Linked DNA regions of Coturnix japonica. The protein of the gene in region 3 interacts with the protein of the main gene of each other region in a pairwise test. Links are inferred from orthologs where the notes say so. Each region holds a gene or a part of one and is shown on either strand. Other genes may lie near its edges. The genes, in order: LARP1B, FAM13C and KIF2A.

Region 1 (4,263 bases), on a different chromosome or scaffold from region 3:
AGGAGCTGGTTCTGCCTCTGGTACAGATGAGTAACACCACAGCACATGGATGGCCAGAGGTGACTGCCTGGAAGCAGCTTTCTCCGCGTGTAACTATCACTGAGCACGCCGCCACACATGCTTGTGTCAGGAAACTTTCAGCAAATTAGGCCAAGATCAACGAGTTGAACAGGATTCAGCTGCTACTTTGATGCGAGATTCTTTTCAGTTTTATTATCCCCTGCATGGACGGTTTTACATTCCATCCCAGCAGCGCATCTGCCCACCTACTTACTATTTCACATGCGTAGTTTCCATACTACCACACTTATAAGGGCCTGGCGCGGCTGACACTGCTTTGTCAGTTCGGTTCCTCAGAACACATCTCCTGCAGATGGGGGCACACACACACACACGCAGTCACTCCCTCTCTCAGCCCCGCTGGATCAGCCACTCCATGCTCCACAAGCAGTAAGCAGTGACTCACCCCAAAGTTCCCCGTGGCAGCCACCCCACAGCACATCCCTCCTCACATGCCTTTTACTGGTACCACTGTCACCAGCAGCTCCTCTACTTGCTGAATTCTGCACTTGTCACTGCAATAGTTACTCCAGTGCAACAGCACAGTTAGGCAGTCATTTAATAAACAATAACTTCTGTACAGATGAATAACAGTTTAAAGCTCTCTGAAATAATCACACTGTGCACATAACATATGTGGTGCATGGACTCCACGCTTCCATTCTCTCTTCCCCCAACAACTATTTTTGTGTTTTGACTTAAGTGGGAAGCAAAACCTCAGCAAAGAGCAGCATTTCCAGCACAGGCCCCCACTAGGCCCACAAGGCAATAGTGCACCAAAGCAGCTCCCACTGTACTATTATTGGGACTGTCCCAGCAGCCCGGGCAGGTGACGAGCTCCCTGTCATGCACGGGCAGGACTGCAGCACAGCACCGGGCTACAGGAGCCACGCTAAGTCGGCATTTACGAGTGCGTCAGTACACACAGACAGCAAGGCCCGATGGTACAGATGGACACACGTGCTGCCAAAAGGTTTCATCTTCAGTTAAATAAAGGTTCTGCGGTCTGGAGAGCATTTCTGTCTGCCTGCACGATACGCATGCTTGGAAGTGTCAAGGGGTATATTTCTCTTGGTGAGGGAGGCACTCAATTAATTCCAGGATAAAAGTGACCATGAGAACACAAGCGGGGCTGTCAGGAACCCTCGGGAGCACGGCACAGAGCACGGGGAGCACACACCAGGCATGTTATGTGGGGCTGGCAGCTGCTTCCAGCCGACAGCAGCACTCCGAGAAGTGCTGACTTCGAGGAACTTCTCAGGGGCCCAAGGCAAACGCCGGGCTATTTCAGCCGGGTCTGCAGTCCGTATGGAGCTCTCACACACCTTTATTCTGCATTTGTGGTAATTAAAGACCAGCAAATTGCATCAAGCTGCCCTCGCTCCATCTCTTCCCACAGAAGCAGCCTGAACTGACCATCAGCACGAGTGAGTGAACTACAGCTGTTAACACTAAGGCCTTCACGAGCCCTAAAAAGCAAAACTCGGGAGTGAACTGAACGGGGAAATTATATAAACAGGTAAAAAACAACAAAGAAAAAAAAAAAAAACAAAAACCAACTAACCAAAGCAAAACAGAAACAAAGAGCCGAGCAACAGGAAAGCAGCGGGGATTCAGCAGAGCTCCTACATGTCAGAGCACCGCACGGTCTGCTCAGCGTTCCGCTCGCGGTGCCGGGCCTGCAGCGCCCGCCGCCGCCCTGCCCATGTATGTAGAAGCACGGGCTGTCGGGGCCGGCCGCGTGCAGCGCTGCGGAAAGCGGAGCCGGGGGAGGAGGGGACGGACGCGCCGTCCCCGGCACACGCGGTGTTTCCGCAGAACCGAAAGCGACGCACGGCGCCGGCCAGCACCCCGCCAGCTCCCCGCCCGCCCGGCCCTGCGGCTCGCCCCGCACCTGGCTCCCGCAGCACGAGCTGCCCGTCGGCCGCGTCGTCCCTCGCGGCTCTGCGCTTCGTCCACGGGTTCTCCTTGGGCGGAGGGGCTTCGGCCGCCGCCTGCCGTCGCCGCTCCTCGGGCTCGGGCTCTCGCCGGCCGCCGCTTTCCGAGGCCTCCTTCCCGCCGGTAGAAGCGGGCTCTCTCCGCCGGGCCCCTTCCGTCGGCCCGTCCCGGCCCTCGGCGCCCCAGGCCGGGCGCTCGGCGGGCGCGGCGGACACCTGCGCGGCGGACATGCCCTGCCGGCCGCCGCGAGCGGCCCTCGGGGGAAGGGGGACGGGCGCCGAGGCGGGGCGGCCGTCTCTCCTCCTCCGGCCGCCGCCGCTCCGCCCCGTCTCCCGGGGCTCCCCTGTCAGCTCCGGCGGCCCCTCCGCCGGCGACCGCGGCGGGGGCAGGAGGGAGGAGCGAAGAGGCCGCTCGCTGCCAGCCGCCGGCTCGGAGGGCGGCGGCCACCCCGGCGGCGCGGTGAGCTCACAAGGGCCGCGCCCCGGGCTCCGTGGGGGGCGCGCGCAACGGGACGAAAGGAGGCCGGGCGGGATTCCTTTAACGCGGGGACGGGGCCCGCTTAGCAACCGCGCTGAGAACCGCGTAACGTGGGACGCGCCTGTCGGCTCCGCTTGGAAGCGGCTGGTCAGGCGGGCGGATGAGCTACGGCACCGGGCAGAGCGCGAGGCGCGGGCCCTGAGAGGCGGCGGCACCCACCTGGCACCGGGGTCAGCTCTCCAGCGAAGCGGGTGGGGCACGTTGGGGTTTATTATAGGCCTTTCCCACGTGTTGTACAGCACGACGAAGGTCTGCAAACAGCCCCTGTAGGAGCTAGTTAAGTGTTTGTGAAAGTAACGTTACAAATAACCACATTTCAAGAGTTTTACCTCGGCAGGAATACCTTTCACTTGAGACACCGCTGCTCTACTGAGGTTATGTGGTGACAAACCCTGTGCCAAACTTAGCATGCATTGCTGGCACTGCAAATTTAAGCTGAAAACATTGGAAATAAAGGAGACCTTTCCTTGAAATACATTTACAGATGCCTCTGAAGCACCTTCTGTTCAAGTGATGCTTCGTTCTTCTTCATTTTTAACTGATAGTAAGAAAAAAGTGCAATTAAAGTGGCAGCAAATTTTCAAACACCTAGAAGCATTTTCCTTAGCAAGTAAGAACTCGGCTTCTTCAGGTGCACAACATTCACATGTCAAGGACACACCAGTAACACATCACAGTGAGAAATTCATTGAAATACAGGCAAGTGTTGCTAGTGAATAAGGGCGTTATCTGCATACGTTTACTCCTGAGGAGTATTTCCCATACTGTCAGCTCAGAACACTTTGCAGTTATTTCATTTGTTGTCCTAAACTCAGAGGCTATGCAGACACAGTGAAGAGCAATAGGAAAACACAGAGCCCTACCTAATCACTGGTAGAACAGCATTACCCTCCCTCTTCCTTTTCCTTGTTCTAGGGAGAAGACAGCAGGTCTGTAGGGCAGCCAGGACATTAGGAACACTGCAGTACTGGCACCTGAAGACCAGGGAAAAGCATTAAGCCGGTTAAGAGGAGGAGGAAAGCTGGGCCAGGGAGCAGTAATGTGGTAGCATTACAGAATAGCATTTTACTCATGTCATGGTTTTGCATGGGGAATGGCATGCCTGCATGACATTATATACAAACTTTCCTTCAACACTGTGTAACTTATCATTACAGCCAAGCTGACACAGAACCTGACAACTTAAGATAAAGAAAGCTCTCTGCCCCACCAACTGTAATTACAATCAACATGTATATAAAAATATATATATACATATATAACTGACACAAGACAAATTAAACATATTAATAAAAACATGCAGAGGCCCCAAATGTTAGTGATTCCCAAGCAAAAATACCACGCTAAGAATCTTCACTTTATTATAAAACCTACTATTTAAAGAGAATCCATTTAGATAGCATTCTAGTAAGACTAGGCTCCAATTTTTGGAGCCAAGGTGTCTTTTTGCCACTTAAGGGTGTTGTTGACTTACACGAGTAACACAACACAAATGATTTATCCTTACTACAACACAAGCTGAATGGTCACTTTTCAGGGCATGCTCTTTGGACTTCAGAAGAAAAATTACAGAAGGCTCCATTTGACACTGATTAGACACATTTCAGAGCTTTTCCTTCCACCTGCAAAGCCTATTTCCCACTCCATCTGTCCCCCTGACATTTTGTCAATCTTAGCATGCTGAGGTGTTACAGGAGCCTTCACTTTTTAGCCAGCGTAGCTGAACAC
Region 2 (4,176 bases), on a different chromosome or scaffold from region 3:
GTCTTCAGTCATGTTGTGTTAATGGTAGTAACAAGACACTGCAGTATGTTTGTACAGGGGGTGAATTAGCAGAGAATTTCACCTTAACAAGTAGAAATGAAGAAATTATGTTCACAAGATCATTCTATTTTCCATCTCCTCCTTGTGTGTGTGTGTGTGTATGTAGGAAGGGGAATGGGAATAAATATGTAGTGTCTCTTTAAGATCTACCCTAATCACTGTGTGATGCTTGTGAATGTGATGTTGTGATTAAAAGCTGTGATTCCTCCTTCTTTTTTTCTATTCACCTCCTCTCACAAAACCTGTTTTTTTTTTTTTTTGTAGGGCTGAAGTCCCTATGGACAGATTTCCTGATAATTTGTGCCATGAAATAAATTGCTGTATATACAAATATAGAAAAGAGCAAACACTGTGTGCAAGCAGGTAGAGAGGCTGGGAAGATAAGGCACATTGCCAGCACTGTTCGGGAGAGAAGGGAAATTGTCACTTCTGTGGCCCTGGCTGCTGCTTCTGTGGGGAAGGGATGCTGTGCCTCTCTGTCCCTGCTCCATGTGCTGCTGGGTTTTGTGTGGTGCCGTTGTCACAAATAGGAGTGCTTGTAAGACGCAGCTCCCTGTATTACCTTCTCCTCCTCCTCCCTGCCCTAATATGTCTCAGTGAGAATGGATTTTGTTTGTTTTCTGCTGCTAACATTTCAGAATGTTCCAACTGGATTTGAGAGGTGTTGCTTAAGGGGGAATTCCATCGCTGCCTCAAAACCAACCGTTTGCTGTATCCTGAGCTGACCCTTCCTGAACATATTACATCAAGTCTGAAAAATGTTGCTGCAAAAGGGCAGCAGCCTATTCCTTTCTTAGGAATGGTTTCATCTATTCCTTGCTGTTTGCTCAATAACCTTTTGCTACTTGAACTGCTCTTTCTCCCAGATTATTTTTGCGTTGCTTCCCTTGGGATCTGACCATGAGCTGAGTGTATAAAAGACTTCTAAATGAGAAGAAAAAGACCTCCAGATATTTTAACAATCCTATTTAAGTAAATAAAAATAACATTGTGTTTGATTAGCCAATTGCAATCATTTAAAGAGCAGAATGCCAAATACTTGTTTGTAAACCTACAGCTTTTATTAGTGGCAGCGTTACTGTTGTAACAGAATATGATCCTTCTCTGAGCCTCACAGGCTACCTGCATCCTCATATTTATTCAAAGCACTGCTGGATGGGCTTTGTAAGTGTTGTAGGGCTAATCCCCGTGGTTCCTTGATTATGAGCATGTGCAGAGCAGCCGAAGGTACAGTCGCGCATGTAGAGCTAACACACACAGACTTGCCTTGCAATGCCATGTTTGTGCATGTGTTTCTACAACTGAGAAGGAAACAGGGAGCCTGCCTGCCTTGCTGACTTGTCTGATGTTTTCTTGTTTCTGTTTCAGCATTCAGGATAATTCCTTCAACACCACAGCTTTAGCAGAGTAAGTCAACACTTTAAAGATGTGCCTTATTTTTAAATAAGAGTGGTAGAAAATAATTGCAAGTACTGTGTGAGAGGTCCCAAGCTTTCTGTCATGTATTTTGATTCAGGTTAATCTTAATCTCAGTATATTATTGAGACTCTGAAAAGAATTGCATAAAACAGACGCCTTTACATTTTGTGAGACCATTTGGCAACAAAGTACTTTTCTGGGAGGATATAAATTTGATATACCTCACAAATGTTTAAGTGCATGATTTCAGTGTAGGATAAATCTCCAGTGATTGTATTGCTCATTTCTGGTACTGATGATCTCGACAAACACAAGCATGTCAGAACGCATGCCCTGCATTTCCTGCATGCGTTAGGAAAAACAATTCTTTAAAAATATTTTTTGGGGAAAAAAAGACAACAAACACAGAAACATCATTTAGACAGAGCAGGCACCAAACACATTGTTCTTTGTAATTATTTCCATAAACTCATTGAGAAGGTTTTCATCTTTATTGTGATCATAAGGACATATTCATTGATTTTGTTGTTGTCATAAAGAGACAACAGAAGAGGGTGAGGACATTAGAAAGTTACAAAGGCAATGTCTTTAGGGAGGATTATAAATAAAATAATCATTTTTTTATTCCAGTATAAAATGCTTCGATTTAGATATTCTCTGTGTTATTTTGCATGCTTTTGATTGTTTCAAAACCTTTTAGGGAAGACTCTTTGGCAGTAATGCACCAAGCAGTATCTTAGGAAGGAAGTGATTTATAGATTTGCTTGTACATTAGATGAGTTTTACACTGCTAAAATGCTCATAATTTAAAAAACCCTGGCTGGACTGTGATCTGTTTGCTTAAGTGTTATGGGGATGCATTCTGAAAGCAGGCCAAGTTGTAATTTAGTCTGCGCTATCACTCAGTGTTGTCAAAATCACTAAAGGAGAAGGTAAGCAACATTTCTTGAGGGGGTTTAAATAAATTTTCCCTCCTACATTCTTTGCCTTGCTTTCTTTGATATTTTAAGTTACTTGTTCTTTCTGTGTGATTGTGGTAAATATGGAAAGATATAATGGGAGATAATAAATCATCACATCATTCTGAATTGTTTTCATGTGTCCCTGTTATTTAAGTGTTGTGCTGTGGTATGTAAAATTCATAAATGAATAGCCAGATTTCAGGAAGTATATATATATATATATTTCCTTTTTTGTCTCTCTTCCTTTGCTCTGTCCCCTGACATCCATCTCTGTTTCACACAGAGATTCCCCTGTCTTGGCCTGGTGCTGCCTCCCTCACCCTTGAGGTTTTCTGGGATGTGGATGTGATGGTTTTGCTCATTGCAGCTTTGTGTGATCATTAAGACAAGGGAAGAAAGGCTAAGTGGCATCCCTGGGGAAAGGGAGGGGAGATGGGCGCAGACAGTGCTGTGTGGAGCAGAGAGGCAGCTGCGTGGCAGAGCTGGGCTGTCGTCTGAAGGCTGAATCTCTTCATTTAAGCTGTTGTTGGTGTTGTTCCAGGGCCTTTAATTCATAATCTTATCTTACCAAACATGGAAGTAGAAACTGGCTTTTAGAAAACAAAGCAGACAGACAACATCATTCAAAAAGCATTGTCTGACTTGGTTTCCAGTGTTGATTTCCCTAGATCTTGTTTAAAGCCTGCCCCCAAAGCCTGTTTGTGAGGACACACAATTACTGCAGATTTCAGCACGAATTGTTTGTGCTCTGACCATATCTGAAAATAGGTTTCTTCTATTTAGCAGAAACAGAGAGTTTGCCATGCAATGGTAGTCATCCCCATTTGACTTCTCTGAACGATGTAAAACCAGTGAAACAATACTTTCAGGAACATATCTCCAGATAAGGCAAGTGCCTGGGGCTGCTGTGTTCCCAGGAAGCCATGCATGCAGCCTGGTGGAGAAGTTGTTCACGTGAACATCTTAAAGGTCAAGTCTGCAAAAGGAAGCAGTTTTCCAGCTGTAGTGAAATGGTTGTTATTGAAAGGTGAAAATGGAAAAAAATTAAAAAGATGTTCCCACTAAACTACCTCTGGAATACAGAGGCATTGCTAGAGAGGCAGAGTAAAGTCTGTGTGGATTGGGATCCTATGATGGTCTAGGCTTTAAGCAGTGTCTTATGTGAGTGAGTTTTCTCAGTTAATATTTATCCTTGCTGATAAGGAAAACTATTCACCCTTTCAGTCTTGGTGCTGCTGAACTTCCTCACAGTCTTTTTCAACGCATGATGGCCACTGTCTTCTCTGATTCATTTGTGCTAATCCTTTCTATCTACTGGTATCTAGTTAGTCAAATACATTTTGTCAAGTTCAGTTGGAATATTTGTAACTTGTCTTCATTTATGACTGTAATCAGGTACTAGATGCTTACTTAGGCTTCCTGCTTCTTCAGCTCACCTTTACTACAGCCAGCTGAGAGCAGGTGATCCTCGGCTTACTTGTCCAATTTTAGGAGTACTCACACAAATACGCACGCACAAACTTGGCTGCATTCAGTTGCCCACCATCCTCTCAGAGGGAAGAGCACAACTGCACCCACTGCAGGAATGTTATGTGATAAGGTGGATCAGGCAACTGTAGGTATATTTTCCAGTTGCATGCAGCAAATGCTTTCATCCAAATGCTGATTTATTCAGGAAGTGTGAACACTTGAGTGTCCCTTTAAATAATTTCTGCAGCAGTCAGGCTTTTGAGAA
Region 3 (3,039 bases):
CTCAAATTCCTTTGTCAAAACAGAAAGCACGGCTACTTATTTTTTGCTGCTGATAGGATTACATTCAGCCAACATATAAAATGCACATTACTTGCTGTAACTTTAGTTAACATTGCACTAAACCCCAAGCCCCGGGTTCAGCCCAGACGCTGCTGACTGCGCACCACTGTTTGGTTGTTGTGGGAGATGGTGCTGCTTGGCAGGGCAGAGCTGCTGCCACAGTAGCACTGGGGAGGAGCTAGGCCACAGGTTGGACATACCTGCAGTAACCTGTACTGCCACCCGTTAACAAAAGCTACCCGCCTTATTTTTTTCCACTGTTCTTTTAACTGCGATGAATGACGCTCTTGACTAAATTCTCAAAGCACGTGTAATACATCTTTAAGGCCTACTGCAAGATGCAAGTTGTGATGCTGCTCTAGGCTCTTCTTCACATGTTACAGATTTGCACAGAAAGTTACTTTCTACAACTTAAAATCCATTCAAAATCATTGGCCTTATCAAAAGTGCATCAATCCACATGTTTAACCAAGTGCCGCCCTCCCCAAAACAGAACAGAACTTTAATAGAATTCTCATTTGTAGTTCATTTAATAGCTTAATTTATTAAACACATTATGTAAAATCTACATTTTTTTTTTTTTTTTTTTTCAGTTTTCATGTTAACACACAGGAGGAATTTTTTTTATTCTTTTAACCATGATGCGACAGGAGATTCCCATAGCCTACCTTCCTATGGGAGATACAAACATTAAACACTACAAGAATTCCTGGCTCATTTAACTCTCTCTTTATTGCGTTCCCTTTATTACCCTCTAGGCCTTATATAAGCAAACAGGCTTGTATTCCAAGAGTAATATTTCAGCAGTTCCCAGTCTGCTGATAGAAACTCCAGGAAACAGGGAGAACTCCTAGAGAGGTCTACAACTCTTCCTTTGATGACAAGTTCTTACATGAAAGGTCAATCTCTTTTGGATACACAAAAGTAACTTGAGTGCCACCACCTAAGAAGTGCTGATATACATGGCGCCATTTGTCAGAATTTAGTTACTCGCGGAATTCCTGCTAACACTAGGTAGAGGTATTGTGCAAATCCTTAAATGATGCAATTTCACACCACTTTTCAGCTGCTGGCACTGCAAAGGGAAAAATAGGTATTAGCTACTATTTTTAAAGCAACAGAGCTACTCAAACTACCTGCAAACTACAGTTAATGTACATGTAAGTCTGTCATGCATCAAAAGCCAATTTAACAGTATGTGAAAGGCCAGTATATTTAGCTAGATCCCCAAAAAGTATTTATTTAGCTAGATCCCCAAACTTTGACAGTTATCCTAGCCATACACAGAGGTCAGATTGTACCTTTATTCTGACAGCATTATCACACCATACCACATGCTGCATATCTGCATTATCCTAAGATACAACTCTCCTCAGAACTTAGACATTACCCTTTATTATACATCAACTAGTTTATTGTTTTGTTTTTTTCTTTTTTCTTTTTTAACTGAGAAAAGCGTTATATAACGATTCTTTATGATTCTCAAATAAATCTAGAATCCATATTTTTACAAGGAGGATGGAATGTCCAGCTGTTTGTCCACTCTAACAGCTCTTGCAGTTCCTGTTCAAATGATATGGCACATTCTGTGAAATGAATGAACTACTCACCAAAAAAAAGTTTCAAAAGACATTAAAAATGTACATACGCTGAAAGTAATTTATACTGACAAAATTAGGAATGTTGCTTAAGGCTGTGCTTCAGAAGGAGGATATTCAGGGTTAAGTAGCCTTCATCAAGGCACAGAACAGGAAGTGGTAAGCACAGCTATCTGTAGAAGAGAAGTTACGTACAACCACTAGTGAGGTGAGCATGCAAGCAAACACAATTAAAACTGCACAGCTGATCTCTGTAACAAAACTGAACATAGTTATATGGAAATACTGTGATTCTTTAATAGCCACAGTTTTACTTCATTGTTAAAAACATGGCAAGTATTTCAAAACATAAAATTCACAATTTGAATAAATGAAATATTTTAAACAAAGTGCTTCACAGATCTAAACCCTGCATGGTTGTGCTGTCTGGTCTAGAAGCATTTTGTAGACATCATAGGAGCATTTCACACAAAATCGAAAATGTCACTCAGGCGAATAAGAAACAGGACATTTCCACAAACATTTCTAATGTTTTTACACTTTCAAGTAGTTGAGTTCTTAGGGCCACTGGGTTTTGTAACAAATGTGTGCTACAGCAGTATGGGTTCATGGATTCCTTTAGCAGCAAAGGCCCCTTTCAAACGGCACGCGGTCTTTTTGGGTTGATCTGTTTACTGGCCTGTTCCTCCTCTTGGAGAGCTGCTCGGAAAGATTTCACTTTGTCTATAATGAAAAAGAAAGAACGAGGTCCAATATGTCTTTGCCCAACACAGATCCTGAAACTATTTTTTTTTTTTTTTTTAAACATTTCCTTTGCATTTTCTTATTCTTCCCTTAAACATTTTGGAATAAAGGAAAAGGAAATGAAGTTGCAGAAACAAGTTGCTGGAGGCGCAGCAGAGATTTGTCTTTCAAACTAGAATGAATGGAATATAGATGTGAACTTTTTCCTAAGCAGCAGAACAATCATTTCTTCTACACTACATGACAGTGCAAGAGGAAAAATCTCCCAAAATAAAAGCCCACACTACACATTGCTAATAAACGCGAAAGTGATTAAAAGCATTCTACCTCTAAGTTCAGTCAGAACATCAATCTTTTGATCCAGAATTGCTTCAAGTTGGGTAGCATAAGAATCCACGTCATAGTCTACTTCTTCTGTCATCTCAAGAAGTGATTTTTCATCTTCCAGCCATCTAATAGATTCCTAGGTAACAGTTATAAAAAAAATCCACCAAGATAACAAAACAAACAAAAAAAATTAGCAAGGGTACAGACTGTAAGACAAAGAGACTACTTACTACATATACTCAAGATGACTGTATTTCCTACCTCTTAATTATCTCACTCTGAAAGTTTTAAAAAGAATCCATATTTTCAG

Evidence for each region.
Region 1: the proteins of KIF2A (region 3) and LARP1B interact in binary tests that used the Homo sapiens proteins (3 or more experiments, as listed by UniProt). The two-hybrid records come from large-scale screens. The link is inferred for Coturnix japonica from reciprocal best matches to the Homo sapiens genes KIF2A and LARP1B.
Region 2: the proteins of KIF2A (region 3) and FAM13C interact in binary tests that used the Homo sapiens proteins (3 or more experiments, as listed by UniProt). The two-hybrid records come from large-scale screens. The link is inferred for Coturnix japonica from reciprocal best matches to the Homo sapiens genes KIF2A and FAM13C.

What each region holds. Positions count from the first base shown.
Region 1 is NC_029519.1:30,352,873-30,357,135, reverse strand, and holds the start of LARP1B (la-related protein 1B), read right to left. Parts: upstream 2,835-4,263; 5' UTR 2,229-2,834; coding exon 1,955-2,228; intron 1-1,954.
Region 2 is NC_029521.1:52,966-57,141, forward strand, and holds the start of FAM13C (protein FAM13C), read left to right. Parts: upstream 1-1,308; 5' UTR 1,309-1,405; coding exon 1,406-1,467; intron 1,468-4,176.
Region 3 is NC_029547.1:20,755,616-20,758,654, reverse strand, and holds the end of KIF2A (kinesin-like protein KIF2A), read right to left. Parts: intron 2,866-3,039; coding exon 2,730-2,865; intron 2,382-2,729; coding exon 2,296-2,381; 3' UTR 578-2,295; downstream 1-577. UniProt on the Homo sapiens protein: Plus end-directed microtubule-dependent motor required for normal brain development. May regulate microtubule dynamics during axonal growth. Required for normal progression through mitosis. Required for normal congress of chromosomes at the metaphase plate.